4 linked regions of the Elephas maximus indicus genome follow. Each later gene encodes a partner of the first gene's protein in a complex. Links are inferred from orthologs where the notes say so. Each region holds a gene or a part of one and is shown in the gene's direction. Other genes may lie near its edges. The genes, in order: TADA3, TAF4, TADA1 and MBIP.

Evidence for each region.
Region 2: TADA3 (region 1) and TAF4 share a complex: the UniProt entries of both Homo sapiens proteins name them as parts of the TFTC-HAT complex. The link is inferred for Elephas maximus indicus from reciprocal best matches to the Homo sapiens genes TADA3 and TAF4.
Region 3: TADA3 (region 1) and TADA1 share a complex: the UniProt entries of both Homo sapiens proteins name them as parts of the STAGA transcription coactivator-HAT complex. The link is inferred for Elephas maximus indicus from reciprocal best matches to the Homo sapiens genes TADA3 and TADA1.
Region 4: TADA3 (region 1) and MBIP share a complex: the UniProt entries of both Homo sapiens proteins name them as parts of the ADA2A-containing complex. The link is inferred for Elephas maximus indicus from reciprocal best matches to the Homo sapiens genes TADA3 and MBIP.

The regions. Positions count from the first base shown.
Region 1 is NC_064838.1:34,766,750-34,773,608, reverse strand, and holds the start of TADA3 (transcriptional adapter 3), read left to right. Parts: upstream 1-3,852; 5' UTR 3,853-3,974; intron 3,975-3,983; exon of another isoform or gene 3,984-4,187; intron 4,188-4,290; exon of another isoform or gene 4,291-4,348; intron 4,349-4,797; exon of another isoform or gene 4,798-4,934; intron 4,935-5,033; 5' UTR 5,034-5,059; coding exon 5,060-5,266; intron 5,267-6,859. Other genes in the region: ARPC4 (actin-related protein 2/3 complex subunit 4), read right to left, coding at 3,471-3,473. UniProt on the Homo sapiens protein: Functions as a component of the PCAF complex. The PCAF complex is capable of efficiently acetylating histones in a nucleosomal context. The PCAF complex could be considered as the human version of the yeast SAGA complex.
Region 2 is NC_064843.1:5,834,947-5,842,201, forward strand, and holds the start of TAF4 (transcription initiation factor TFIID subunit 4), read left to right. Parts: upstream 1-4,238; 5' UTR 4,239-4,267; coding exon 4,268-4,493; intron 4,494-4,568; coding exon 4,569-5,462; intron 5,463-7,255. UniProt on the Homo sapiens protein: The TFIID basal transcription factor complex plays a major role in the initiation of RNA polymerase II (Pol II)-dependent transcription.
Region 3 is NC_064821.1:207,693,367-207,701,026, reverse strand, and holds the start of TADA1 (transcriptional adapter 1), read left to right. Parts: upstream 1-4,652; 5' UTR 4,653-4,817; coding exon 4,818-4,891; intron 4,892-7,660. UniProt on the Homo sapiens protein: Probably involved in transcriptional regulation.
Region 4 is NC_064828.1:48,670,970-48,677,903, reverse strand, and holds the start of MBIP (MAP3K12-binding inhibitory protein 1), read left to right. Parts: upstream 1-3,913; 5' UTR 3,914-4,072; coding exon 4,073-4,204; intron 4,205-6,934. UniProt on the Homo sapiens protein: Inhibits the MAP3K12 activity to induce the activation of the JNK/SAPK pathway. Component of the ATAC complex, a complex with histone acetyltransferase activity on histones H3 and H4.

The DNA.
Region 1 (6,859 bases):
AAAAACCCACGGAACAGGGAGGGTCAGAATCCATAAACTCCCCCCACCCAAAGCCACTGGTAGTCTCCTCTCTAGCTAACACTGGAGCCAGACAGTACCAAGGGTGCTTGCATATGGGTCCCTGGCTCTCAGACACCACAGTGAACAGAACGGGCCTGGCCCTCAAAGCACTGAGTCTAGAGTGCTGGTGGCAGGGTTTTGCCCCCAGAGGACATGTGGCAACACTGCCGTATATTTGATTGCCACAACTGGGAGGCGGGGTGCTACTGGCGTCGGGTGGCTACAGACCAGGGATGCACTAAACAGCCTATGATGCACAGGACAGCCCCCACAACAAAGGCTCAGCCAGCCTCAAATGTTAATAGTGCCAAGTTGAGAAACTCTGTTCCAGACATAAAGGTGAGCGACTGTGTCCTCAATCTGTCCCCTGAGCCAACAATGTATAGCTCTACTACTCTGTGCCAGGCACTAAGCTGTTGTGGTCTGCCATCAGGTCGACTCCGACTCATAGCAACCCCCCGTGGCAGAGAAGGGCTCCACAGGGTTTCCTCGGCTGCAGTCTTTATGGAAGCAGACTGCCACGTTTTTTCTCTCCCACAGAGCGGCTGGTGGGTTCAAACCGTTCAGTTAGCAGCTGAACTCTTAACCATCGCACTGCCAGGGCTCCTTACACACTGAAATAGGTGCTGGGGATTCAAGATGATCGAGACCAGCTCTACCTTCAAATTTCTCTCAACCTGGTCGGGGAGACACCGAAGTAAATGACTATGATACAAAGAAATGTGAAATAACTAGATTTATAAGTAATCCACCTGCAGAAGAAACTGAGTTTGATTTGAAGATAGAGATAGGATTAGCAGGATTTAAAAGCAAAAAATAGAACAAGAACGTTCCCAGTAGACCTTCCAGGTACATTGGCCTATCTTCAGTTCCTTACATTAACCAAGTTTTTCCTCACCCCAGGGCTTCCCACATGCCGATCCATCTATTGATAAGACATTTCTCTTCTCTTTGCCTAACTACCTTTCCACCTCCGCTTATTCAAGAAAGGCCTCTCCACTGTATTCAATCTCATGTCTCAGGTTTTCCTCCTTTATAGTATTTATTACAATTCATGATGGCACATTCTTCTTGTCTTTTGTAGTTTTTCCTTCACAAACTCTAAGCCTCATGAGGGAAGAGACCGTGTCTGGTTTATTCACAGCAATATATCCTGCATCTAGCTCACTACCTAACACAAAGAGCCTTACTCATTCTCTGTAGGGTGAATGAATGACAGCGATAACGTCAGCAGTATCTAACACAAAGAGCCTTACTCATTCTCTATAGAATGAATGAATGACAGAAATACCGTCAGCAAAGTTAGAATGACACAAAGGGGTATTAAGAGTTCCAGAAGTGGTAATGACTACAATGTTGCTGTATATGGGAATTTGATTCTGTAAAAGAGGTGGCAAGATCGTGGAGATTTTCAAATGCCAAGTTACTGAGTTCAGCTTTTTTGGGGCAGTAAGGACTGTTGGGGCTTTCTGAGGAGGAAGTTACATGACTGCAGCTGCATGGTGGCTCTGCAGAGAATGGATTAGAGGGGGAAGTGAGACATAACGCAGAAAGGGGTATTTAAGAAGTGCTGTTGAGAGCCTGGCCTGGGGCAGTGGAGAAAGAGGGTATCACAGAGATTAGACTAACAGATGTAGAGCATAAGAGGATCAAACAACTGCCCAAAACTGTGCTCCCATATGATGGAACACTATACATGAATGACTTCCAAATGTATTATGGGAAGTGAAAGAAGCCAGACTAAAAAGACTACAAAATAAAGAACTCCATTTATACGACATTCCGTAAGAAATAAACCTATACAAAAAAAAAAAAATCAGCAGTTGCCTAAGGTGGGGGGGAAGGAAAAGACATTATAAAGGGGCTTAAGGAAACTTTTTTGAATGACAGAAATGTTCTAAATGTTGACTGTGGTAGTGGTTACATGCCTGTGTTTGTCTAAATTCACACATGGTAAAAGCCACCACCTGTCAATTTGCTGTACTACTGCATCGGTATTTGAAATACCAGAAGGGGCACCCATGATAGACAGGTTTCAGTGGACTTCCAGACTAAAGAAGACCAGGAAGAAAGGCCTGGCGATTTACTTCCAAAAACTAGCCAATGAAAACCTTATGAATCACAAAAGAACACTGTCCAACATGTCATCAGGATGATCAACAGCTGAAAGAGAACATCACGTTTCGTGAAATAGAGGGCCAGCAAGACCCTCAGTGAGATGGACTGGCACAAGAACTGCAATGATGGACTTGAACATGCAGATGATTGTGAAGACGACGCAGGACCAGGCAACATTTCATTCTGTTCTGCATTAGGTTGCCTTGAGTTGGAGTCCATTCGACAGCAGCTACTTATCTATCTAAACCTAAAAACGGTGAATTTTAGGTGGCCCGCCCCTGCCCTTTCGTTAATAAAATAGGCATAGTTTTTTTCTAATACCTCGATAAACTTGCTTTAAAAGAGCCAATTACAAGAGTTAAAAAAACACACAAAACCTCGCAGGTTCTAGCTGAGGTCCGAGAGGACACAAAATTAGGAAAGAGAACACAGGTGAAGATCAAGCAAGTTTAGGAGGGTAGATGAGTTTTGATCTGGAGATCTGATTTCCAGGTATGTTCAAGATTTCCAAAAGAACCTTGATAGAGAGGCCAGAGCAAGGGAGGCAGATTCAAGACTCACCAAATACACAAGGTCACTGAAGCCATGAGACTACACAGGTGTCACCAGGAAGTGTAAAGAGAGGAAGGTAGTGAGCCAAAGTCACAACTCCCAGAAACGACCACGTTTATCAAACGGAAGATCTCCAAGGAGGGAGGGATCAGCAGTATCATATCCTAAAGTAAGGCTGACACTGTTCAGTTCTGACCAGGGCCGGGCCTGAGAGGAAGCAACACAAACGGATCCTTCAGTGGGGTAGCAGCAGCGCTGGGGTACCAAGAAGAGTGGATAAGGAAGTGTGAACGCCTCCTTTGGGAAATGGTGGGGTCAACTGGCTAGGAGACGAAAAGTTATGTGTACTTACTGCAGTTCTACTATGGGTGGGGAGCTGGCCCTTCTACATGCCTCAGCGGCCCTACTACGGGCTATGAGGCCTACTACGTGTCTGCCTTCCACAGGCCTAGGAGGTCCCACTTCCGGCTTCCTCCCTGCCTCGAGTATTCCCGACCTGCTCCGGGAGCCGGACCATGAAGCGACAGGCCTGCTTCCTACCAGGGCGTCCCCCTCAACCGCTCACCTCCTCCTCACAGCAGCCCCCGCCCCACCCTCTTTCTCCCAGCCCCATCGCGCCCCCACACTCCCCGGTATCCCTCGGCCCCGCGCCTCCTCTGCTGCAAAGCTGCGTCTCCCCTAGACCCAGAGCTCTGAAGCAGAACGGCGGGGGTCCCTGGCCCGGGTCCCGGCTCTCTCACCATCGCGGGCTCTGGCTGCGCCGGAAAGCGGAAGTGCGGAAGTGGCCGGCCCAGCGACGCCTGCCCTTTCTCGAGAAGCGCAGCCGCAGTCTCCGCCCGGACTTCCGGACGATACTATCTCCGCTCCAGAGCGGGGGGAGGAGGATCCTAGGAACACTTAGATCCTTGGCAAGTTTTCCCGCTAGAACTATCATGGTATTGGACTACGGAAGTTGCAAATCGAAACTCAAGCTTTTCCAGGTATCCATATAGTTCTCGCTTATGCCTTTGGCCTTCTTGTCGCCTTAGCCACAATCTCTTCCTATAGTTATGCAATGGTACATCCCAGTCTCAGGTTGGGCACCATATTAGGACAGGGTGAGGAGGTGAATCCTTTCGTTCCTTCCGGTTCTGCGCCCCTATCCTTTCTCCCGGCTCCTCCTACCTGCAGCCCCCGGGACTAACTGCCGCCTGGCGCCGAGATCCCGGCCGCTGAGCCCCGCCCCTAGCCCCAGGCTTTCTAGGGTACGCCCTAAGGGTACCATTCCACCCGCAGTGGCCTTGCTGGCGGTCTGCACCCCCTCTTGGAGCCACAGTGGGATTGCCCGAGCCGTCTCCCCGCCCCCGGGCGAACTGCAGGGGGCCCGCCCATCGCCAGTTCCGGGGCGGTTGCTCCCACCGACCGGAACTCCTCTCCCCCTCCCGCGGCCCCGGGCCGTAGGAGGCAGCAGTGAGGAGGTAGAGGGGGCGGGGGCCGCGTTAGAGGGTACCTAGAGGGCGGGCACGGGGCGACCCATGGGTGAAGCCAGTCATTATAACAGTCCCACTTTTTCTGTGCCAGGCACTGAGCTGAGCTCTTGACGGGCCTCATCTCTTAATCCTCAGAACATCCCAGGGAGGTATGTACTGTTGTTATCCCCATTTTACAGACTGGGAAACTGATTCAGAGAGACAAATAGACTTGTCTTCTTTTGTCCCCATTTTACGGATGGAAAAAGATTAAATAACATGTTCAGGGCCACAAGCAGAGAATGGTAAAAGCTGAGCTTGAACTCAGGGCTGCTTGGGTACCCAGCGCACATTCCTGACACTATCAGGGACATAGATAAAGAGAATTGGGTAAGGGGAGGTGGGCAACGGAGAGCATGGGAAGCACAGAAAACTTTGTAAAAATGAGATGCTTGGAAACCAGGAGAGATGAGACAAAAAGGAACAGTGTCAGGAAAACAGGGTACATTGTATTGTTGTGATTAGGGCCACAGACATGAGACTTCCTGGGTTCAAACTGCATTTCTGTAAGCTTAGGCCTGTGCCCACCCTTACAGAGTCTCAGTTTCCTTGTCTGTAGAACAGAGATGACAATGGTTGTTGCTCCTGGGGTTGGGTGATGAATTCCACAAGATAAGCCTATAAGTACTCTGCACCTAGTTTGGTACACAGTGGGTACTCTGTGAGTAGGAGCTGAGCCACCAGCATTGTCAGAAGGTACTGAAATCTGACTTCCTTGTTGAAGCTCTCTCTAGTGGAAGGAGCCCTTGGGCTTTTCTCGTGACAGTTTGTCCCTCGTCAATCTTTACTCTCCAGCTACACAGGGCTCCGTATCCTGGGCCATGAGTGAGCTGAAGGACTGCCCCTTGCAGTTCCATGACTTCAAGTCTGTGGACCACCTGAAGGTCTGTCCCCGCTACACGGCAGTGCTGGCCCGCTCCGAGGATGATGGCATTGGCATTGAGGAACTGGACACCCTGCAGCTGGAGCTTGAGACTCTGCTCTCCTCTGCGAGCCGGCGCCTACGGGTGCTGGAGGCAGAAACCCAGGTGATACCCCACCTGCTGGACCTTGTCATGGAGCGGGGGGATTGCCAGGGGTGGACTGTGACAAGATAGCAGGATGGGACATTGAGTTAGCTCCACCTGCTGGGGCTTGGGGTACAGGGCCTTATGGGGGTGTGTAGACTAATACAGGACCCAGCACGTTGGGGGTTGGGAGGTAGAAGGATGGGACGTGGGGGTAAGGTAAAAGCTTAGTGAATTACAGGTTTTGCAGTTTATGAAGATCATGCACATTCATGCGTATTGTATCTGCAAGATTGTGCGTGATCCTCATAACTTGCAAGATTTATAATTCACTAAGCATTTATTGGAAACTCTGGTGGCATAGTGGTTAAGTGCTACGGCTGCTAACCAAGGAGTTGGCAGTTCGAATCTACCAGACACTTCTTGGAAAGTCTACGAGGCAGTTCTACTCTGTCCTATAGGGTTGCTATGAGTCAAAATCGACTCGGTGGTAATGGGTTTGGTTTTTTGTTTAAGCATTTATTTACCCCCCATTATGAGCTGAAGGAGCCCTTGTAGTGCTGTGGTTAAAGCACTCGGTTGCTAACTGAAAGATCAGCAGGTCGAGCCCACCAGCCACTCCTAGGGAGAAAGATGTGGCAATCTGCTTCCCTAAAGATTTACAGCCTTGGCAACCCTAAGGGACAGTTTTACTTGGTCCTGTAGGGTCCCTGTGAGAGGGAATCCACTCCAGGGCAATGAGTTTTTTTCTCGTTTTGAGTCATGTGCTAATAATTAAAGGAGTAATTAAGACAATTCTGGTCCTCAGGCAACTCGCCAGTTAAAGGGTGGGGGAGGTCAGACACGTACCAGATAACGTGTTGTAGTTAGGGATACTAGGAGAACCGGAGCAGGGAGATCTGGATTTGAATCCTGGACTGAGCTCTTGCTACTGTTGTTGCTTCCTAGTTATGTGACCTTCAAAAAGTTACCTCACGTTTCTGCTGAGCATCCATTTCCCCGTCTGCAAAATGGGCTCAGTAACAGGACCTACCTAAGAGCATTAAAAAAAAAAAAAAAAATTTTTTTTTTTTTAGTGAGGATAAAAAGAATTCTTGCAAGGACTCAGCTCTATGTCTAACACTTAGGAAGCATTTCAAGTGTTATTTATTGACTCTACTTTGATTATTTTTATTCACTATATAAATGTCTCTCAAGTCCTATGTCCCAGGCACCATGCCAGATCCTGGGCAATGGAGATAGTGAAGATGAGCTTCCAGTCTCTAGTAGTTTATAATCTAGCTGAAGTGAGAGGGTGTGCCATATTCCAGTATGACCAAGCAACATGTTTGGGTCTGCAGTGGAGGTCTGAAGCACCAGTCTCACAAAGGAGGGGGATGCCATTTCCACTGGGCCTCACAGGATATATAGATGTAACTTGTGGCCCTTGGGAATCCATGATAGATTTTGAGCAGGGCTGTGGCACAGAGTTATATTTGATCATCTAAGAAGTTGAGTGACTGGTATGATGAACACTTCCCAGCTGTGGTGACGTTTGAAATAAAAGGTTGCTGGGAGACTTGCTTGCCTTCGCCAAAAAGTTACCACCAGAATACTTCCCCAGGGTTAACATGT
Region 2 (7,255 bases), on another chromosome or scaffold:
GAGGTGCCTTAGGGCTCCCCTTACTTGAAAGTAAGGCCATTACTTGACTGCAGTTTGGGATGGCAAAGGAGACATTAGGGAACATCGACCTGCTGGAGTGAGGTTAAGGAGGGCAGTTTCCCTCCTGAACTTTGAAGTAAGCTCCTCTCTGAGTTAAACCAGTTACACCCATCCACAATGGCTGCAATTAGCCATTTATGGCAGTAGGCCAAGAGACTGTTGTAAATGAGTCACTCAAGAGTTTGCAGACACCCATGGCCCCCATCAAGGAGATCTGGGTCAACTTCAGAGCAGAAGCCAGCCAGTCTGTGGTTATAATTTAGTGAGTGGACTTCTAATCAGTGATGTCCTACTATCATTAGAGAGAGGGACCAGAGGGGCTGGTCAGCCGGGGCAGCCTGAGCAGAACTTTGGAGTCCAGGTCCCAGGTTTCTTCAATGCCAGTTCTGCCCCCACTGGGAATGTCTTGGGCCATTTACTTAACCTTTCCAAGCCTCGGCTCCCTCCTCTGGAAGAGGCTAAACCTGCCACACAGTGAGTGCTGTTGTTATTGGAGGCCACCTGAGACTGTCCCTGGTGAGAGAGTCTTGGCAAGAAAGAGCCAGAAAGGGGACTGTTGAGATGGGTGGGCTCCACCCCAGATCTACCCATGAGGCTACTGCCTAATTCTCCAGGTTCCCCTGCCTGCTTCCTGGGGCAAAGGGGCCATCGGGCCGAGTGCCTTCTGACCTCTGAGAGGCCTTCTCCCTGTGAGTGGACAGACTGGCCATCTGCATTTGCAGATCAGTCATGAGACATGTTCACAAAGCTGTCCTGGCAGGCGGATCTGTTCTCGAGCATCCCTGTCTGCAGGGCTGAGGAGTGCTGCTGGCTGGGGTGGTGAAGTCCTCCAGGTGAATGGCCATCTAGCCATGTTTTTTTTTAAATTTGTTTTTATCATGTAATATTGCAGACAGAGAATGAAAGTATAGGTGACATGCCACTGCACACCTTCCCCACAGCCCAGCATTGAAACCATGGAGTCTTGATAAAACTTGTATTTGTGTGTCTCATGCTTTTTCCTCATTTTATTGCTTAATAAATTAAAGGCCCCACAAACCTGCTGGCCTGGGAAGCAGCACTTATGCTCACAGCCTGGCACATTTGCCAGTAGCGAGGGTGTGCAGCCCTGGGATCTTAACTCTCTTTTGTAGCAAACCTGACCCATGTTCCAACGCAGCATTTGTGGTCACATATCACACGTGTTTCATCCCTCTCTCCTCTTTTCACGCTAGATGTGAGTTTCCCTGCAAACCACAGAAGCCAAGATGCTTTGTGGCCCCAAGTGAAGCCAGATGGAAATGGTCAGAGGCACTTGGCCTGAGTCCCCAGGGCGGAAGAGTTGGCGAATATTCGCCCACCTCTGCCCCATCAGGAGAGAACTGCTGGGTGGGCAGTGCTCTCCAGGTGAAGCAGAGCTGACCTCTCAAAGTGTGCTGTCTGTCTGGGGAGTAGCAGAAGACCCTCCGGGAAGGGAGGTGAGCTGGGTGGGTACAGAGCCATGACCTTACTACACTTCCTGCGACTGCTGGACTTGAGGTTGTTCCGGCAGACTCTGACGTGACGTCGGGAAATGTATCGATGCTGGAGCACACCCTGACTAGGAGAAGCCCCCAGGCAAGCCTGGTGGCAGAAGGCTGGTCAGACGCTGAGCTGGAGGCCAGCCCATATGGAGCCCAGCTGGCTGGAGGGAACTGACAGGAGCAAGGCCTCAGTGCTGAGCACCCACTGTACCCCAACTCACCCCATGTCTTCACCTTTCCTTTAGCAGAGCTCTCACTCCTGCATTGGCAGACCTGCAGATGTGAGAGCCCAAGTTCCCTGAGCCTGTGACGGGGCCTCACCCTGGTATGGTGACACCTTCATGGGGCACTGAGTCCTGCCTGTGGACTGGCTGCTGCTATTCCTCTGCTCCTGACTCTAAATTCTGAGGGGCTGCACACGGGGCTGGCACCAGGCAGCTGATGGGTTTTGTCTGGTCTACTTCAAAATGTTCTAAATAGTTGTCAACATTTAAAAATTGAGAGATTTTCACAAGACTCCATATTTCTTCTATTGTTTGAAGATTCAGACCACCTGCCCTGCTGAGGTCTTCTTAGCTCCCGGCTGCCCCTTGGATACTGGGACAGGTCCCCAGTGGTCAGTCCCTGGTGCACCCTGGGGCCTCCTCAAACCCAGCTCATTTTATTCCTCTACTTTCCTGCCTGACCTTTCTACAGCAGAGCCGAAAAATACCTGAATGAATCACAAGGGCTAGGCTAAGATCTTTATTTGTTTGAGTTTACTTTCAAAGTTTCAGGATATTTCTGAAGCCTTGCCTTCTGGGGGCTAAAACTCAGGTTTAAAATTCAAAACACTCCCCACCCCCTGCCCAGACACCTTTCCTTGGTTCCAACATCCGCTATGATTATCTACTGCTGCTCTCAAGAGAAAAAACCTGGAGAAAAAATCGTGTGTTTGTTATCAATAGGTCGGTTAGGTTGAAAGGTTGCAATAGGAACACACACACCCACCCACCCACCCACCCCCTTAGGCTCTGTTTTTGAGAGCTGAGCAGTCTCTTTTGTGAAGGCAGTTAGAAAAATCATTTACTATGTCAACACTGGCTGTGCTGAGACTGGTGTTTACTGTGGTGACTGTCTCTTCAGCAATAAAGACAGGTCCTGTGATTCCGTGTTGCCAGTGACTGAGAAAGCAGTTCTCTGCGGAAACTGTTTTGGGCTTTTACAAAAAAAAAAAGAAAGAAAAAAATCAGAAAACCATTAAAAATCTCCAATAACACGAGTCTTTTGGTTAAAAAAACCAAAACAACTCAGAAAAAGGGAACTTTAATATTTTTGTAGAGGGGCTCCTAAACATCATTTTGGGTCATTTACCTCTCCCTCCCCTGCCCAAAGTAAATAAAGAGCAGAAAAGTACTTCCAAAAGCCATTGCTTCATACCAGCGAATTTTATTTTGTACCTGGTCTACTTACCTTTCTGTCTGGGGGAGGGGTCTGTGGTCATTACATGGCAGTCACCTTTGAGCCTCAGAGTCCCATCCCCCGGAGAACTTCGTTTATTGACTTAAAAGTGGAGGGGAAGGCCCACGGTAGTCCCAGCTGGAGGGTAAGCAGGGGAGTCCGCGCAGACTCGGTTCCCAGGACCCGCCAGTCTGGCCAGCCCCGCAGCCCCCCAGCCCCAGTTCCCACGCGTTCCCCAGCATTGAGGGTAGAAGGCTGCTTGCACCCAGCCGAGTGCGATCATGTTTTACTGCAGGAGAAATAGCCCTCAGGGTGCCAGCGCGCACGATGCCGGCCCGCCCTCCGGTGACCACCACCGGCGAGGGTCGCCCCTCTGTACACATCTGTCCCCGCCCTGCCCCCTCTGTCCGCCGGATGTCACCCATCCCGGTGATCGCGTCTGGCCGGTAGGCCTCGTCCACCCACTGGTGCCTCAGAAGCGGCTACCGGGGGGTGTCCAGGCGCTCTTGCGGCCCTCACGGTGCGCGTTTGGTGGTCCCTGCTTTAAGCGGTGCCGCCAAGACCTCGGCAGGCGGCGGGGGTCTCCGGGGCGTGCACCTGCGCCCCTCCGGCGGCGCTTCCCCGTGCGTTTGCCGGGGTCTCCCGGCCCCGGCTCCCCTGGCCCCCCGCCGTCCTCCCGAGCACCGCCGGCCTGCACGCCCGGTCACGGCGTCGGCCCGGAGCCTCGCCCGCTGGCGGGGAGCAATGGCGGCCGAGCCGGGGTGCTGCTCTCCGCCACCGCTCCCGGGCCCGCCCGTGCTCCCCGTGGCGCCCGGCGCGGCCTCCCGAGCTCTCCAAGCGGCGGCAGCGGGGCGGACTGCCCGGCCGCCCCTCGTCGCTCCGTCGCCCGCCAGCCCGCCCGCTCTAGTCAGCTTCGGCCGCAGCCATTTTGGAACGAGCGGAGACAAAGAGCTGGCCGCCGCCGCCGCCGCCACCCCCGGCCGGCCTCGTCCGTCCCCGCAGTCCGTCCCGACCCGGCCGTCCGCCCCCCGCACCCGCCGCCCGGCCCCGAGCTCCAAGCCCACCGGCCGCCCGCCCTCGCCCCGGCCTCTAACGCTTGCAGCCATTTGTCGCGCCTTTTAAGCGCGCGCCGCAGCCAATGGGCGCCCGCCGGGCGGCGGGGCGGGGGCGGTGCGCGCGGCTGCGCCTGCGCACTGGCGCCCGCCCGCGGCCCCGCCCCGCCCCCCCGGCCGAGCGGCGGCGGCGGCGGCGGCCGAGGAAAAAAGATGGCGGCGGGCTCGGATCTGCTGGACGAGGTCTTCTTCAACAGCGAGGTGGACGAGAAAGTGGTGAGCGACCTGGTGGGCTCGCTCGAGTCGCAGCTGGCGGCCAGCGCGGCCCACCACCATCACCTGCCGCTGAGGCCCGACGCGCGGGCCGCGGCCGCCGCGCTCGGAAACCACGCCGGGAGCGCCGGCGCCGAGGCCGCCCCGCCGGAGCGGCCCGCAGCAGGTAGCCGGGGCCAGGCGGGGCGGGCTGTCAGCGCGGCCGCCGCGCGTCCTCACCGCTCTCTCCTTGTTGTTGCAGGGCCCGGAGCCGCCAGCCACGGCGCCGCGCGCCCGCCGCCGTCCGAGGGCCCCGCGCCCGCCCCGGCGCCCGCCCCGGCCCCGGCCGCCGCGGGCCCCGAGCCCGGCCCCGCCGCCAGCCCCGCCGCGGGCCCGGCCAAGCCTGCCGCCAGCCCCGCCGCGGGCCCCGCGCTGCGCGCCGGCAAGCTGGGCGGCCCCGGCGCCGTGCAAACTTTGAATGGGAGCAGCGTGGTGGTGAACTCGCTGCGCGCCGCGCCGCCGGTCAACAACGGGCCCGCGGCCGCGCCGCCCCCGGCCAAAGCGGGCGCTGTCAGCGCCGCGCAGCCCGCCGGCTCCGTCATCCAGGCCGCCGCCGCCGCCGCCGCGTCCCCCGCCGCCCCGGCCCGGCCGTCCGGCACGCCCGCGGGACCCCCGGCCGCCGCCGCGCAGAACGGGAGCAGCACTGGGATCGGCGCGGCGCTGGGCGCGGGGGGCGCGCCGGCGGGGGGCGCCGCCGCCGCCGCGCCGGCCCTGCAGGCCGCCCCTCTGGTGAACAGTCAGCCGGCGCCCCCCGCGCCCCCTGCCGCCGCGCCGCCGGCGCAGGCCGCCAAGGCCGAGTCCCCGAAGACCTCGGTGCCCGCGGCGCCCCCGCCGCAGACGCTGCCGGCCAGCTGTCCGGCGGGCGCGGGAGCAGGCGTGCTGCTCGGGCAGACTGTGCCGCCGGCCGGCCCCCCGCCCGCGCCCGGCGCCCCCGCCGCGCTGCCCAAGGGCGCGGCCGCCCCGAGCCTGCCGCCCCGGACTCCCACGGCCGCCGCGCCCGGCCTCCGGGCCACCCTGACGCCCACCGTGCTGGCCCCGCGCCTGCCGCAGCCGCCGCAGAACCCCACCAACATCCAGAACTTCCAGCTGCCCCCAGGTGAGTGGCCGCCCCCCGCGGGCAGGGGCGGGTCTGCGAGCCGCGGAGTTCCGGGAAGTACCCCTACTCACTCACGGAGACGCTAAGGTCACCTGTGTCCTACAGGGCGGGCGGCGATTTATTTGGCTGCGGTGTAGGGGCTGGGGCTGCACAGGTGTAGTAGCCTCTAAAAAGGTGTTGTGGCAGCCCGGGCTAGGGCTGTGTGCATGTATGTACACGTGTGTGTAGGTACATGTATGTGTTTGTGTACACTTGGATATGTGTGTACATGCTCGGGTGTGTGCATAAATTACCTGCTTATGTATCTGTGTGTACGTACACCTGTGTGTATATACATGTATGTGTGTGTATGTCTGTGTGTGTTTATGTATATCTGTGTTTGTAGGTACTTTTGTGTGTATACAGGCATGAGTATACGTCCATGTATACTTGTGTGTGCTTATCTACCCCGTGGGTGTGTACACACCTCTGTGTGTGTAGAGTTCCTCTGACTAGGTATGTACACTCACGTGTGTATGTATACCTGCGTGTATGAGTGTATGTACACCCGAGTGTATACGTACATCTGTGTGTACCCGTGTGTGTAACGTACCTCTGTGTACGTGCGCTTGTGTGTGTATGTACATCTGCATGTAGGTACACGTCTGTGTAACACACCTTTCTCTGTACCTGTATACCTGCATCTGTAGGTACCCTTGTGTGTGTGCATGTACTTCTGTGTGTGCTGTGTGTATATCATACCTCTGCATAGTACACCTCTGTGGGTGTGTGTGCGTATGCATGCCCAGTGCAGCTGTGGGTTTCCCACCCGTGACGTCCTGGTCTGTCACTGCGTGTCCTGCATTGCTTGTTTGGTTGTGGCAGACTCGCAGTTGGGTGGCTGGCCCTGCGTGCCCCTGCCCCCATGGGCAGCAATAGCAGCGATTGCAGGGACAGGTTGTCCAGAGGTTGGGCGTCACGGGAGCACAGTGTACTTGGAGCTTGGGTGGTCAGGCTTCCCCTTCCTGGTGTCTGGCCTGTGTCCCCACCTGGCTCCTTCCTGCTCCTTTACCATCTGGCTCTAGAGGTCCCGACAGTGGGCTGGAGAGACCCCTCCTAAAGGTGCTGTCGCAGCAGGGTGGCCTCTCTCTGGGAGCTGGCGAGGTGTGCACTCTGCCTGCGGTGATGGGGCCCCCTACACTGCAGCCTCCCGTTCAGCCTGAGCACAATCCTCCCGGCACATGTCCTTCCTGGTCGCGTCCTTGTCTGAAAACCATGCTTGAGTATCATCTTAGCTGGACTTGTTACGCTGTCAGTATTTTCAGTTCAGCAGAGACACTGTCAGGACTGCCTGGTTAGTTGTGCAACTCTGGAAGCCGTTGGTGGTCAGAGGCTCTCCAGACGCTCCAGTGGGTCTGAGAGTGGTTCAAACCCAGAACATTTGCAGAGGGAGGCTCTGGGGTCAGCAGCTGCCTCAGCCTTCAGCGTCTCGCTGCACAGGCTGCCGCTGGCCCTGCAGCTGAAGTTTGACAGTGAGGGATTCCCTCAGCAGCCAGCCTGGGGCAGGTCTTAGAAGGAGTCGCCTCCTCCTTCCCATCCACTCCCCCAGCTTCAGGACTGTGGGCTCGGCCGAGGCTCCGCCCTCACGGGTCACATGGGTGGGTCCAGTTGTAGTAGAGGGTGGCAGTAGTGAAGACAGCACTGCCCATGCTGCCCCCGCCCCCCGCCCCCGCAGCCCCTCCTGCTCTCTGGAGCAGGACTTGTCGCTTTGGAACAATTTTGGAGTTTTAGAAGAGGAGGAGGGTTAACCTGTC
Region 3 (7,660 bases), on another chromosome or scaffold:
AACCAAAAGGTCAGCAGTTCAAATCCACCAGCCACTCCTTGGAAACACTATGGGGCAGTTCCACTGCGTCCTATAGGGTTGCTATGAGTTGGAATTGACTTGATAGCAATGGTTTTTTTGTTTTGTTTTTAGATGTATAGAGGTATGCGTGTTGTCAAGCATGTTCAAAAGAACATCTTTGAGGAATATCTTTCTTAGCGAATAGGTACATAGAGAGAAAGAAGCCCTGGTTGCACAATGGTTAAGCGCTTGGCTGCTAACAGAAAGGTTGGCAATTGGAACCCCCCAGCTTCTCCACAGTAGAAAGACCTGGTGATCTGCTCCTGTAAAGATTACAGATTAAAGATTATTTCTGGGCCTCTATCCTAAAGTAAGAAGGAGCTCTGGTGGCACAATGGTTGATTGCTTGGCTGTTAACCAGAAGATAAGCAGTTTGAACCCACCACCTGCTTGCTGGGAGAAAATCCTATGTGGAAGTTCCACTCTGTCACATGGGGTCCATACGTGTCGAAATTGACTCAACAGCATACTACCATCACCACACAGCATATAGAGATGGGGATGCAGACTGTTGGTGGGAGATAAACCCAAACAGCTGTGTCCTTTGCTAGTCCTGTTGAATTGTCTCCTTAATAGGTTCATCTATATGTTTGAACTTGGTTGAAAAAAATGGATGCAGCCACCCGTAAGCCTCAAAACAATCAGAGGAGAGAACGTTTGTACAGGTACTGAGTCATGTGGTTTGTTATAGGAAGTCAGGTGACTACAGTGCTGTGTGTAAGTGTGGGGAGGGCAGGGGTAGGCTGAGTCCTGGTCATGAGAAAATTCAAAAACCAGGGGAGAGACAAGTTTATTGAGTAGTCAATAGGCAGCCATGGAAAGCTTAAGTGGATGGCTACTTAAAAAAAAAAAAAAAAAACAACAAATGGAAATTTCTCTGGCGTTTTATGACACAGAGACGAAGACTTTACCTGTCTTGTTCACCTTTGTAGCCCCAGCACCGAAAACAGTACCAGGTACATAACAGGTGCTCACTGCATATTTGTTGAATGAATGAATAAACTTGAGGGGGCTTCTGGGGAAAAACTGCACAAGATTTAAAAGCCATTTAGGATTATTTCAAGTCTTTGAGGCAATTTGAAAATATGTATCAAGAATCATAAAGATTCCTAACATTTGGCCCAGTAATTCTATTTGTGAAACTCTATCATAAAGTAAGGAGCCCTGGTGGTGAAATGGTTAAGTGGTTGGCGCTAATTGAAAGGTCTGCAGTTTGAACCTACCAGCCACTTCATGAGAGAAAGATGTGGCAGTCTGCTTCTGTAAAGATTACAGCCTTGGAAACCCTATGGGGCAGTTCTACTCTGTCCTATTGGATTGTTATGAATTGGAATCAACTCAACAGCAATGGGTAATCCTAAAGTAATAGTCCTATTATGTGTGTATTAGTTTCCAGCAGCTATCATAACAAATGACCACAAACCTGGTGGGTTAAAACAACAGAAATGTATTCTCTCACAGTTCTGGAGGCCCGAAGTCGGAAATCAAGGTATCAGCAGGGCCACACTCCCTCTGAAGGCTCTTGGGGAGAATCCTTCCTGCCCTCTTCCAGCATCTGGTGGCCAGATGCTCCTTGGTTTGTGGCAGCATGACTCTAGTCTCCGTCTCTGTCTTCACATGGCCGTCTCCCCCATGTGTCCTCTTCCGTCTGTCTAATTGCACTCTGCCTCACACCTGCCGTTGGATTTAGGACCCACCAGGTAATCCAGGGAGATCTCATTTTGAAATCCTTAACTTAAGGACACCTACAAAGATCCTTCTTCTAAGTAAGGCCACATTCATAGGTTCCAGGAGCTAGGATTTGGGCATATCTTTTGGGGGCCACTATTCAACCCACTAGGAGTCACTGGGGCGTATAAACAGTTCAGAAACGGACTACTAAGCTAAAGGTTGGTGGGTAGACAAACCTGCAACAAGAGTATCACCAAACATGAATTTACAAATGTATACATAGGTAGACAGGTATGCTGAGAGGTATGGGAAGGTGTAAGGGAACATACCCACCTATAGATATAGGCTTGGTGGTGGATATTTCTACATACATGACTGTAGGTAGTGCTTATACGTTCATATAAACAATAGAACACACAAGAAGCACAATCAGGGCAACTTCTTAGACATAACCAAACAGCTCCAGGGATGAAATCCCTAGGCTTGGAGGCAAAGGACCATAGACTCAGGGGACATCTACATCAATTGGCACAACAGAGTTCATAAAGACAAAGTTCTGCATCCTACTTTGGTGAGTAGTATCTGGGGTCTTAAAAGCTTGAGAGCATCCATGGAAGATACAACCGTTGGTCTCTTACCATCAGGAGCAATGGAGACTGAAGAAAACCAGACTCAAGGGAGCAATTAGTCCAAAGGGCTAATGGACCACATGAACCACAAGCTACATGACCTGGAGACCAGAAGAACTAGATGGTGCCCAGCTGCCACTACTGACCGCTCTGACTGGGATCACAACAGAGGGTCCCAGACAGAATGGGAGAAAAATTGTAGAGCAAAAAAATCAAATTCACACATACAAAAAGACCAGAGTTACTACTGTGACAGAGACTGGAGGAACCCCTGAGACTATGGCCCTAAGACACCCTTCTGAACTGGAACTGAAGCCATTCCTGGAGACCACCTTTCAGCCAAACCATAGACCCAAACCAAAAACCAAACCCACTGCCATCAGGTCAATTTCAACTCACGGAGACCCTGTAGGACAAAGGGTAACTGCTCCATACAGTTTCCAAGGAACGCCTGGCAGATTTGAACTGTCAACCTCTTGGTTAACAGCTGTAGCACTTAACAACTACACCACCAGGGTTTCCAGACCATAGACAGGCCCATAAAATGAACGATAACAAATGAGAGGAATGTGTTTCTTAGAGCAATCAAGTATATGAGTTCAAAACGGCAACATTTGCCCCCAAACCAAGATGAGAATGCAGGAAGAGGTAGAAAATCTGGACAAAAGGAAACAGGGAACCTAGGGTGGAAATGGGGAGAGTGCGGACACATTGTGGGGAATGAAACCAATGTTATGGAGCACTTTGTGCACAAACTATCAAACGGGAAACTAATTCGCTCTGTAAACTTTCACCGAATGCACAATGAAAAATTAAAAAAAAAAAAAAGGTTGGCGGTTTGAACCCACCTACGGGTGCCTTGGATGAAAGGCCTGGCAAGGCAACCTGTTTCCAAAACCTGACAGCTCTGAAAATCCTATGGAGCACAGTTTTACTCTGCAACACATGAAGCCATCATGAATTGGAATATGCTTTGTGGCAACTTTTTTTTTTTTTTAATTTAACCCACTAATATGTGAGAATGCTTTATGCATAAAGAAGTTTATTATACTATTGCTTTTAATAGAGAGAAAAATGGAAACAATATTCAGTCTAACAATTAGAAAACAAGTTATTGTATATATTCTCTCTGTGGGGTATTTAATATGTTGTTATTAAGATTATGGTTATAAAGATAATGTAATAAAACCAGAATCCAAACCCACTGCTGTCTATTCTAACTCATGGTGACCCTGTGTGTCACAGAGTAGTTCTACTGCTCCACAGGGTTTTCTTGGCTGGGATCTTTAGGAAAGCAGATCACCAGGCCTATCTTCCATGCTACACCACTGGGTGGGTTCTAACTGCCAAGCTTCAGGTTAGTGGCAAATTGCAAATTGTTTCCAACACCTAGGGACCAAGATAATGTGATACTACAGGGAAATGCTTGTATTAATATATTAAGTAAAAAAATAAATAAATAAAAAATTGAACATAAAATATGATTATAATTTATTGGTGGGTGGGGGGGCGTCTCCCACTTAAGTGTTTGTCAGGGCTGATAAGACATTTTTTCTTTCCTTTGTCTTTACCCTTCTGTGTATTTTCCAAATTTTTCATAAATAATTTACACAACAAATATTGAGTACCCACTGTGTGCCAGGCACTGCTCTAGGAACTCAGGTCAACAAAACACAAATCCTTGTTCTCAGGGAACTTATATTTTAAGTGATGAAGTGAGAAAATTAATAAGAAAAAGCAATTCATATTTAATTGCAACAGCAAAAAATAAGACTGCCTTGGCCGGGTCTTGGGAATCTAATCCCAAGGAAAGGAAATAATATTGATCCTGTATCTACTTTTATGAAGGAAAAAACTAGTTGTTTTTGATCCTTTTCTAACCTAAAGGCTGGTGGTTAGAACTCACCCAGAGGCTCTCCGCAGAAGAAAGGCCTGGCAACCTGCTTCTGAAAAATTCCAGCCAAGAAAACTCTATGGAGCAGTTCTACTCTGTAACACATGGTGTTGCCACGAGTTATAATCTACTTGAAGGCAAGGGGTTATCTACTTTATGAGCCGAAGGAGGAAGGTATTCTTTTAGGTAGAAGGACGACAGGTAGAATTCGGAACTGGTCAACTCATAAGAGACTAGAAACCGCTGGAAGCCGCCAGCCCGGGCGACACTGCAGGCTGCGCTGGGCGGGTGCGTTTAGGTTGGGCGCCGGGAGCCAGGTGAGGCGAATCACGTGACTCAAGGGGCGGAAGGAGGCAGAGGAGAGGGAAAAAGCGGCGTTTGGCTCGGCACCATCTTTCCAGAAAGGCGGGCGGAGCCGGAAACCAAACATCTTCGGAGAGACTCGGGGCGGGACAGACGGTAGCGAACTGGCTCCCAGGGCCCAGGCCTTCTGCTGAGTTGGTTTTTTGGTTGTTGGTCTCAGCGGCCAGGCCCTCCGCGGTCGGGCTGAGACGTGCGGAGCAATGGCGACTTTTGTGAGCGAGCTGGAAGCGGCCAAGAAGAACTTGAGCGAGGCCCTGGGGGACAACGTCAAACAGTAAGAGCTGCCCGAGCGCGGCCTCCGGGTCTCCTCCCGGGTCCTCTCCTGGCTTCGGGCGGCCGAGACGCCCCCCGGCGCCCCGAGGCCTGTGCAGCTTGGCGTCCCGGCCGGTGGGGCCTCCGGGCTTCTGGAGCCGGGGCCGGGCAGGCGACGCAGACTCACCCCGCCGAAGGGGCCAGGCCTTCCTGGTGCCCTCTGGGACCCCGGCGGCGCCTTCGCCCGGGGCTCGCTGCCCTGGGCGGGGCGGGAGAAGCGTGCTTCACGCCGAAAGGCTTGCTGAGCCGCTAAGCGTCCGGCGCCGGGCTGCCGGACCCACGAGGCCGGCGGGGCCCAGTGACCGGGAGCCCAAGGCGCCCAGGCCGGCGCGGGCAGCGCGCAGGGCGGCCAGCCCCAGGGGGACGTCCTGGAGGCGAAGGGGTGAGGCAGGCTTTGAAGGGCGGGACAGCAGTTCCCACCGGCCGGGGAAGGTGCGAGGTGCACAGCGAATACATTAATTGAGCTCAGGTAGTATACTAGGCACTGTGTGCAAGGAGCAGTGACAGCACTCTCGGAAGGCAGAAAGACTCTGGAGTAAAATAAGTCATGAACGTTGCCGAAATAATAGTGGGATAGCTCACGTTTATTAAACACCTTTTAAACATTATAAATGTATTACCTAATTTTCAGAACAGAGATGTGAAGTTGGTACAATTATTCCCATTTGACACAGCCAGGATTGAAACCCACGCTTTCTCATTTCTGATGCTCTCACAGGGGTTCCACAGGGCTCCAGAGGCGCCCAGTCAATCCATCACCCAAGGCATAGCGGAGGACCCAGTACGAAATCGGGTCAGATGCTGAATGGCCCAGTGTGAAAGCAATGTTTAGCCAAGGCCGAGACTCACAAGGATGAGTTTGAAATTTTTCGAAACACTGTTATCGCAATTTTAGTTTTCAAAATTTTAGGAAGTAAGTTTTAAGTGCTTAAAATCATAACATCTGTGTTTTTGCTGCTGGATGCCTTTTGCGGGGTTCTCGGCATTTGGAATACTAAATAGATGCTCATTTTCACATGAGGCTGGTGGGGAAGCAAGGTGTTTGGGGAATACTTTTTCTCCAAAGATTTCTTTTTTTCATATTCTTTCTTTGCTTTGTATTTTTTATTATGACTAGATTGAAGTTGCTTAGTTTGGATGTCATGCGTGAGTGAGTTTTGGAGTTTTTTCTTGGGAGATTTCAGGGTGGTGTGACATTCTGCTCTTCATCCTAACGAGATATGCAGAATTCCACCTAGGATAGTCATGGCCTAGGTGGAATAAATAAACACTAAATACAATTCTTAAAGGTTGTGTTAATATTACACACGCTAACAAATCAAGCTTCTACAAAGACTAGTATTAAAGTCTAATCTGTTATTCTCTCATAATTTTTTAGTTTTTTGTAAACATTTATTAACTCCCAAAGGATATAATGTTCTGCCCGAAGAGTCCTGGTGGCGCAGTGGTTAAGAGCTCGGCCGCTAACCAAAAGGTCTGCAGTTCGAGTCCACCAGCAGCTCCTTGGAAACCTTATGGAGTAGTTCTGCTCTGTCCTATGGGGTTGCTACGAGTCGGAATTGACTCGATGGCAATGGGATAAAGTTATCTTTTAATATTCTTGTTTCCAGTCTGTTTCCTTTCTTGTTTAATTAATTAAAAATTGTTATTTCAATATGTAAAATTGACAACTTTTACCTTTCTTAATTACTATAGCTTTGTATTTTTGTCATACTGACAGAATATCCTGTTTTAAGCACGAATAGGTGTTTTTCACTCTGTTACATCTAGAATACTTACCAAATATTTGGAAGGTGAGTACTTACTACTACAGTAAATCTGAAGGATGTAGCTTGTGTGTGTGATTGACTTTAACCCTGATTAGATTCAGTGGTGACCTCTGTGATCCCCCGCTCATCAGTCACATGCAGGTTTAGAGATGCCGCTGATGTTGCAGTTGGCCGCTCTGCAGTCATTAAGAGCAAAGCTGACTAGCAGGTGTTGGTCAGGTACCAGAGGTGACGCTGAATTTGGTGCATCTGTAACGTGAATCCCTCTGGACAGTGCTATCAAACTAGGCCTTTGTGTCAGGAGCAGTTAATGGTACAGTAGTGTTCTGGGTTCCATTCTCTCGTCGATTTTTTTTCTCCTTTCTATTAAAAGTGCCTCTTGTTTGAACAACTGCTATACAGTTTCTCACATTTTCCTTCAAGAGTAACATTGGTTTATATAGCCTGACCATCTAAATGTGGTCCTTAGGGCTAGGTGCAATACATAAGGCCTGTCAGGAGCCAGGATGTGAGTTGTGTGTTATTTATCCAGTGGTCCCAATGTCCTTTATGCCTGACTGTGACACTTCGGATGCCTGTGTCAGCTTCCGGAAAGACAGGCTTTGCTAGCTAACTTACTTTGTACATAGCACCCAGCAAAGGTACTAAATAATTTTCTCATGACTTGATCATATCTTCAATGCTTCCTGGATGTAGTATGACCCACTTACACTCCTCTGCCGTTAGCCTCATCTTCATAGGTAGACCAGCTCCATCTGGTATTGTTGAGGAAAATAGCCATTTGTTTGTGGGTATACAGCACTTTAACACAGGGACCAGGATTGGGGAGCAAGTCTTCCAACTCCTGTTAGGCAGTGTTGGCCGTTGGGCTGTTTCCTCCAGAAGGTTTGCTGTTGGAGAAAATAGTAGCATTATGTTGGCAGGACTTCCTGATAGAAACTTGTCAGAATTCTAGACGCTCA
Region 4 (6,934 bases), on another chromosome or scaffold:
TGCTGAAACCTATGTACTATAGGTGACCCTACTGGTATTTGAGATACCAGTGGCACAGGTTCCAGTATCACAGCAACCCACGAGCCACCACAGTATGACAAATTGACAGGTGGGTGGTAGATATATCTGCCTAGCCCACTAGACATAACTGCCTAGCTCTTTGAGGGAGGTTCCTTGTCTGATCCATCTTTGTACCCTCAAGGCCTATCAAAGTGTCTGGCATACAGTAGGTACAATTGTTAATTTATATGGTATCATTCATGAGAATGGTTATGGAGGCTATTTATACATATTTACTTAAAAATTGAAGCACTTTGAATTTGCTGCCCCAAAGGAGGATAAACAGGCATTGTGTTAGTCATCTAGCACTGCTATAACAGAAATACCACAAGTGGATGGCTTTAACAAAGAGAAACTTATTTTCTCACAGTCTAGTAGGCTAGAAGGCCAAATTCAGGACGTCAGCTCCAGGGGAAGGCTTCCTCTTTCTGTAGACTCTGGAGGAAGGTCCTTCTTATCAATCTTCCCCTGAACTAGGAGCTTCTCCACGCACAAACCCTGGGTCCAAAAGACATGCTCTGCTCCTGGTGCTTCTTTCTTGGTGGTATGAGGTCCCCAACTCTCTGCTTGCCTCCCTTTCATCTCTTGTAAGATAAAAGGTGGTACAGGCCACGCCCCAGGGAAACTTCTTTTATATTGGATCAGGAACGTGACATGAGCAAGGGTGTTATATCCCATCCTAATCCTCTTTAACCACAGGCAGAGATCATGATTTATAACACATAGGAAAATCACAAAATGGAGGACGACCACACAACGCTGGGAATCATGGCTTAACCAAGTCAACACATACTTTTGGAGGACACAATTCAATCCATGACAGACATGCTTCATTATTTTAAATTAATTGTTTATAGCATTCTTACTATATTTTATAATTTTCCCCCAACACTGGAAGCTTGTTTCTTTTTTTCCATTTTACAAATATGTTTACCTTAGGCAAATAAATTTAGTTCGATAAGCATACATAGGGCAATTACTCTGTGCCAGGAACTATGCTAAGTCTTAAGTACAGGAACATGATACATATAAATCACCTGGAGCCCCAGTGGCGCAGTGGTTAAGAGATCAGCTGCTAACCAAAAGGTTGCCAGTTCGAATCCACCAGCTGCTCCTTGGAAACCCTATGGGACAGCTCTGCTCTGTCCTATGTGCCAGGAACTATGTCAAGTCTTAAGTACAGGAACATGATAAATATACTCATAGTTAAATAGCAATACATACTGTACTCAAATTTCAATATCGAAGCACTAAGTACAATAATGGAAGTATATATGAGTTTCAGGAGAAGTATAGCAGAGGTTACATAGTCTCTATGAGGAGAGGTATGAGGAAAGAGTTCTCAGAGAAGATTTCTGAACTGGAGTTTGAAAACTGGAGAGTTTTCCAAGCAAACCAGAAGCAACAGGCAGGAATAAAAGAATGGAGACAAGAAATCGTAGGGCTATAAAGAAGAGCAGTTTGGGGAGCATTAAGTACCAGATGGCTTGTGGTAGAAAATGAAGCTGGAAACTTAGGCAACAGTCAGGTTATAAGGATCTTAGATGACAATATAACGGACTCGGACTTCGCCAGTAGGTGATGGGAAGCCAGAGACGACAAACACTATTTGTTTTGCCTTTTCTGCATTAGGAGAGATCTATATAACATTCACTCAGCAAACAACTGTTAAGTGCATATAGTGCTCTGAATTAAAGTTCATCATAAAGAACATTTTTGTTGAAAAGGTAAATAGCCTAGTTTTCACCTATAATTTCTATCCTCTCCAACTGATTCTTGGCATAAACTCACAGGACAGTATTTCTAACTCTGTAGCTAACACCAATACCAACATTTTTCAATCATTTCCACCAGGCAGCACATTTTTTAGCAACCCAGTTCATAAACTGTAATTAGTCTCCTATAAAGAATAAATTATTTCCTTTATTCTTTTCTAAATTGCATAGCTTTCATTTTATTTTTGTTACACGTTAATATCTATAAATATCTATTTAAGGTTAGGCCAAAGGAATCCACATCTTTTCAGCCTACGAACTCTTCTATTTAAAATGGAATTTTCTATTATAAGAAGGAAAAAAGAAATGAGAAAAATTTCCAAAATGTAAATAATATGCCTCAGGAAGGCATAAGAAAGATCCCTGGAAAGAAGACACTACAAATGAGTTAACAAATCCCAACTATTACCAAAGTAAATACTAAGATAAAGGTAGAAGTCCAGATATCAAACACAAAATTACATGGAGAAGTGAGATAATACAAATCAAATGGGCACCATTTAATTTTGTATTAGGGGTTCAAGTGAACAAATAAAACTTGAAATTTCAAAGTCAGTGATGGCAAAGAAAGGAATGAGCAAAATCTTGTTAAGGATGGTATTGTTTTAATGTACAAAATATTTCTAAATGTGTCTCATACCAGTAATCTACATATTTGAAAAAAAATCTCATATATAGATAATAAATGACCTGAAACTGGTTGTTAATTTGCTATAGAAACAAAAACTTGTAGTTACCTATTACAATATTCTCCTTTAACTAGAGGACCAGAGTCAAAGAAAATATTCTAACATTGCAAAGAAATCATATATTTGCGTTAGAGAAGGGGTGAGAGACTTAAATGAGAGGGTTGCTCAATTTGGAATTAGATACTGTGAAATTTTTTTCTGGATATCTCTAGACATAAGTGGACTATCAGCTGTATATCTTGTCTGCTAACAAGGGAACAGGCAAGATTTCTTAAGATCCTGTCAAGCCTGGTGATCCCACAAGTCTTTGGAAATAAAAGCCTAATTAAGAGGCTCCCTAGGGACAGGTCAAAGGGTTCTTTTAACCCTACTACCCTTATCGGTTAGCTGGTTACCCTTATCCCAGTTCCTTGATGCCCTATTCCTTCCCTTTCATTCAGCCTCCTCTAAAACTGAAGAATACACATTGTACAAGTTTCCATCTTTGTCCCCTGTACTGTAAATGCATTAGACTATTAGAATTAAGAGTTTTAAGTCCCTTGTCTCTTGTCTTTAAATTGATACTGCTTTTTTTTTTTAAGTGTTTTTGAACTTTCTTCTAAGACTTATTTTTTCAGTTGGACAATTTTTTTTTTAGTGATAGACTTTGCCTGAAAGATTACAAAGTCCTTCGAGCTTCTTTATAATAAAGCTATTTGATAAATAACACTTGGTCAAAGTTTAATTCAGTTTTATGTCCTAATTTCAAAGTTTGTGTTGCATGGAATTACTTAGGTTAAATTCCTGCTGGAATCATAGTGACCACTGCACTTCCTTGAAACAATTTTAGGGTTGAACGTCTCTACCGCACCACCCAGAAACTAGCAACTGGTGCACGTCTTAAAACCTGATATAAATTATTTGCAGATTTAAAGTCATTATTGTCATTCCTTTGGTAGTAAAACGAAGGCACAACGGAACACTTTTGTTTTTACATCCTCATTTTGCCCCGCATGAAAAATTACTGGCGTTAATTTGTGTAAGTATTAAACAAGCTTGTAGAGATGAGCACATTCTATCCAGTTATGGTAATTCTGTGTGAGTTATCCAACGTTTAGAAACACGTGCGGACACCGCCCTAGACCTGAACCCGATCTCTCCTGAGACCACTACACACTGGCATGTTAAAATTTCAACTTGTAATTCTGAGGCTCGAACTCTAACATTTAATGATAAATGTCCTCTTACCGACATTCATAAACACCATCTAATAGTCAAGGTACGTTTCAAGACGCAAACTCTAAACCCCTGCTTCAATCACCATCCCAGATACAACATCCGGCCTCGCTCTGGTCAGCAATTGCCGGCTCCCGATTCTAGGCACCGCGCCACACTGGCTGATCACCTGATTGGTGCCCGTGCTTGCCAGTCACACAGAAACGGTGGGAGCCTAAAAACCACGATCTAAATAAGACGCGGTGTTTTTACGTCATTTTCGAGCGGCAAAAACTGGAGGGAGGGGGCTGCGAACGCGCCTGGGTAGTGGTGGGGGCTGCCGGGGAAGGTGTCATGGCTGCTGCCGCCACGGAGCTTAGTCGCCCGAACAGCAGTGACAGGAGCTCGGAGCGGAGCTGCAGCCCCAGCCTCTGCCGAGAGGCGCTCTGCGAAACCTTTCGCTCCTTGCGAACCCTGGCTGAACAAGTGAGTAGTGACCTGAGGGAGCAGAGCGTGGGAACCGTACGGCCCCTCCCCCCTTTTCCCTGTAGTTAAGGGCGGGGGCCGCCGAGGGCAGCAAGCTGCAGGCAGCGGGAGCGGCTCAGGCCGGGGGAGGAACCCCGGCCCCTGCCGCCTCCCGGCGGAGGGAGGAGGATGGCTGCACAGACTTAGTTGCAGGGACCGGTTGCAAACTAGATTTCCTTGCAACTGTTCTCTTATAGGGTCGCTGTGAGTCGGAAGCGACTCGACGGCAGTGGATGTTATTATTCTCCCGTAGAGTGAGTGAGGACAGTGTAAATGAAAACCTGGTTCTCGGAGAGAGTGAATGCGGAAAAGCTTCTCTAACGGTTTGGGAGGCGTCTGACGCTGAGTTCTTTTTCCTCCAGTTCCTTTTAGAAATTGGCTAGTTAGTGCGGCCTGAGATTGTGGGAAAGCGCTCACTGTACCGTTTTTGGGTCGATTTGCTCTTATGAGTCACTTGTTTTTTTTTTGTTTTTTGCTTCTGGACATCATTTGCATCTATTACGCTTTCAGACGGGGAGGAAAATAAAAGGAATTAATCGAAAATACTTACAGCATAAAGTTGGATGGGTTGCCCATGGTTAATCTGTTTGCATGAGAGCTCTTCTTTTAATTATTAACTAGGCTAACTGATAAATAACTTGCATAAATGTCTTAGTAAAATTGGGTTTGAAAGAAATGAGCTCCTTACTCTGTTCGGATCAACTCACTGTTTGGTTTCAATTACAATTCAAAGCAAATTTTAAATGAAAAACAACCTGAAGAGATGTTTATTTGCCTACTTTCTAAAAGGAAATATTTTGTATCTTAGATGGAACACTTTCTAGCTATACAAGTTTGTTCTGGAACTGGTAGTAATGCCTGTGGTCAAGTAGACACAGCAGACGTCTGTGTTGAAGATAACGGTTAATTCTTAAGAAAATAAAGCATTTGTCCAATTTATGGAAATTATTTTTTAAAGCCTTCAGTATATGGAGAACTAATTTTTTAAAGTTATTTCAATATTTAAAAAAAAATTCTAGCATGCTTGTCATGATTTACAAAGAGCATTACTTTAAACACTCAGCTTGGTATAATGGAACAATTATTAATGGAATCTGCTAAAAGGTAGAATATAGCTTTTAAACTTGGTTACTTGCCAAAGACCAAAAAATATTTATGAAGACTTGAGGACTTTTGATTAATTATTGTTAACATTTTAGCCTTAAGACCCAAGACTTCTAAATGTTTTAAAAGTTAGAGAACTTTTTATTTTTATGGTGTGGCTATTAGAAATTTAAAGTTTAGTCATACTCTAATGCCAGGATGAAAAAAGTTTATCCTATTATTTACAGAAGGTATTTCTGATTCAGTAATGGAATATTTATAAAAATCAACATTGAGGAATGATTTAAACTTTCTAATTTCGTGTTCTGAATTTTTCAAATTCATTTAAAAATTGTAAACATTCAGGTATTCTGTAGGTACAGTAGAGATGTGATTAAAATCTACTCTTGTCACCTGTCAGAAATGTTTAATATAAATATTTGGTGAGTTTACATGACGCAGTGAGGGAATCTTTTATACAAGTGTCAAAAATAAAATTGTCTCGTCAATTAAATGCTAATCATTTTGGTAATATTCTTTCAATTTTGAGACATATTATTTAAAGATAAGAATAAAAACCAGAGTATTATAATACTTATAAAATCACTTCAGGGGAAATCACTGCTTCCTTTTGCAACAGGTTTGAAGGATTTAAAATATATGCCTAAACTCATTCTGTATAATGCCATTGTATTATTGGTTCTCTTCAATAGGAAGCATAAAATTGAACTTTAAAAAGTATTTCTATCCCAGATTGAAAAATGTACTAATTTTTGCCAAGTTTAACCTTATTGCTTGCCTCCGGATGGCCCGTTTTACCAAGTTAAAGAATTGTTTATTGTTAGCTTGGATTGTCTTATTAATGAAGTTTTGACTGACTGAAAATGCATATTTAATTGGCCTATATTAATAGCAGACTAATATAGATTTTTGAGTGAATGGTGTACCACTACAAATTCTATAGGGTAAAATGCAGAGAAAATTTGTTGATTAGATAGTTGAATGTATTAGGATAGTTTTCAAGTTAATTCATGACATTATTATATGGCTTTCTTGAAAGACCAAGTATCCTTATTGCACTTGAAGGCTTTCATAATTGTGTTGAATTGAAACGAGAATACGATCCAAACATTTATTTTTATTTTCCCTAAGTTACTCTTTTCTCTAGAAAATTTGATGCTTTGCTTTGGTTGAGAATTTGCCTGCTTTACTCCAAACCATATTCATAAATTTGTTCTACTTGCTATAGATCTCTTTGAGGCCTGTAAAAGTGTAGTAGTAGTTTACTTCCATACAAAAGTTGTTGTCTAACAAACTCTTTATGAAAGACGTTAAGGGAATGTAAACTAAGAGGCATTAATCTTTGCCAGTACAGCCTACATAAAAATTTCTATTTCTTTAAACTTGTCTAATGTGAACTTTAAATGCTTCTGATCTCATGTTCAAAGGACAATGAATTTGTTTCAAAGTTTTCTTTTAGTATAGTGTTTTTTTATTGGATACATTGCATCTCTGGTTCCTTGTACAGTAATTTTTATAGTCACACCTGATAAGACCTATATTTGAATTCATGCACCACTTGTCTTTATTTTGTTGAAGGCATGACTA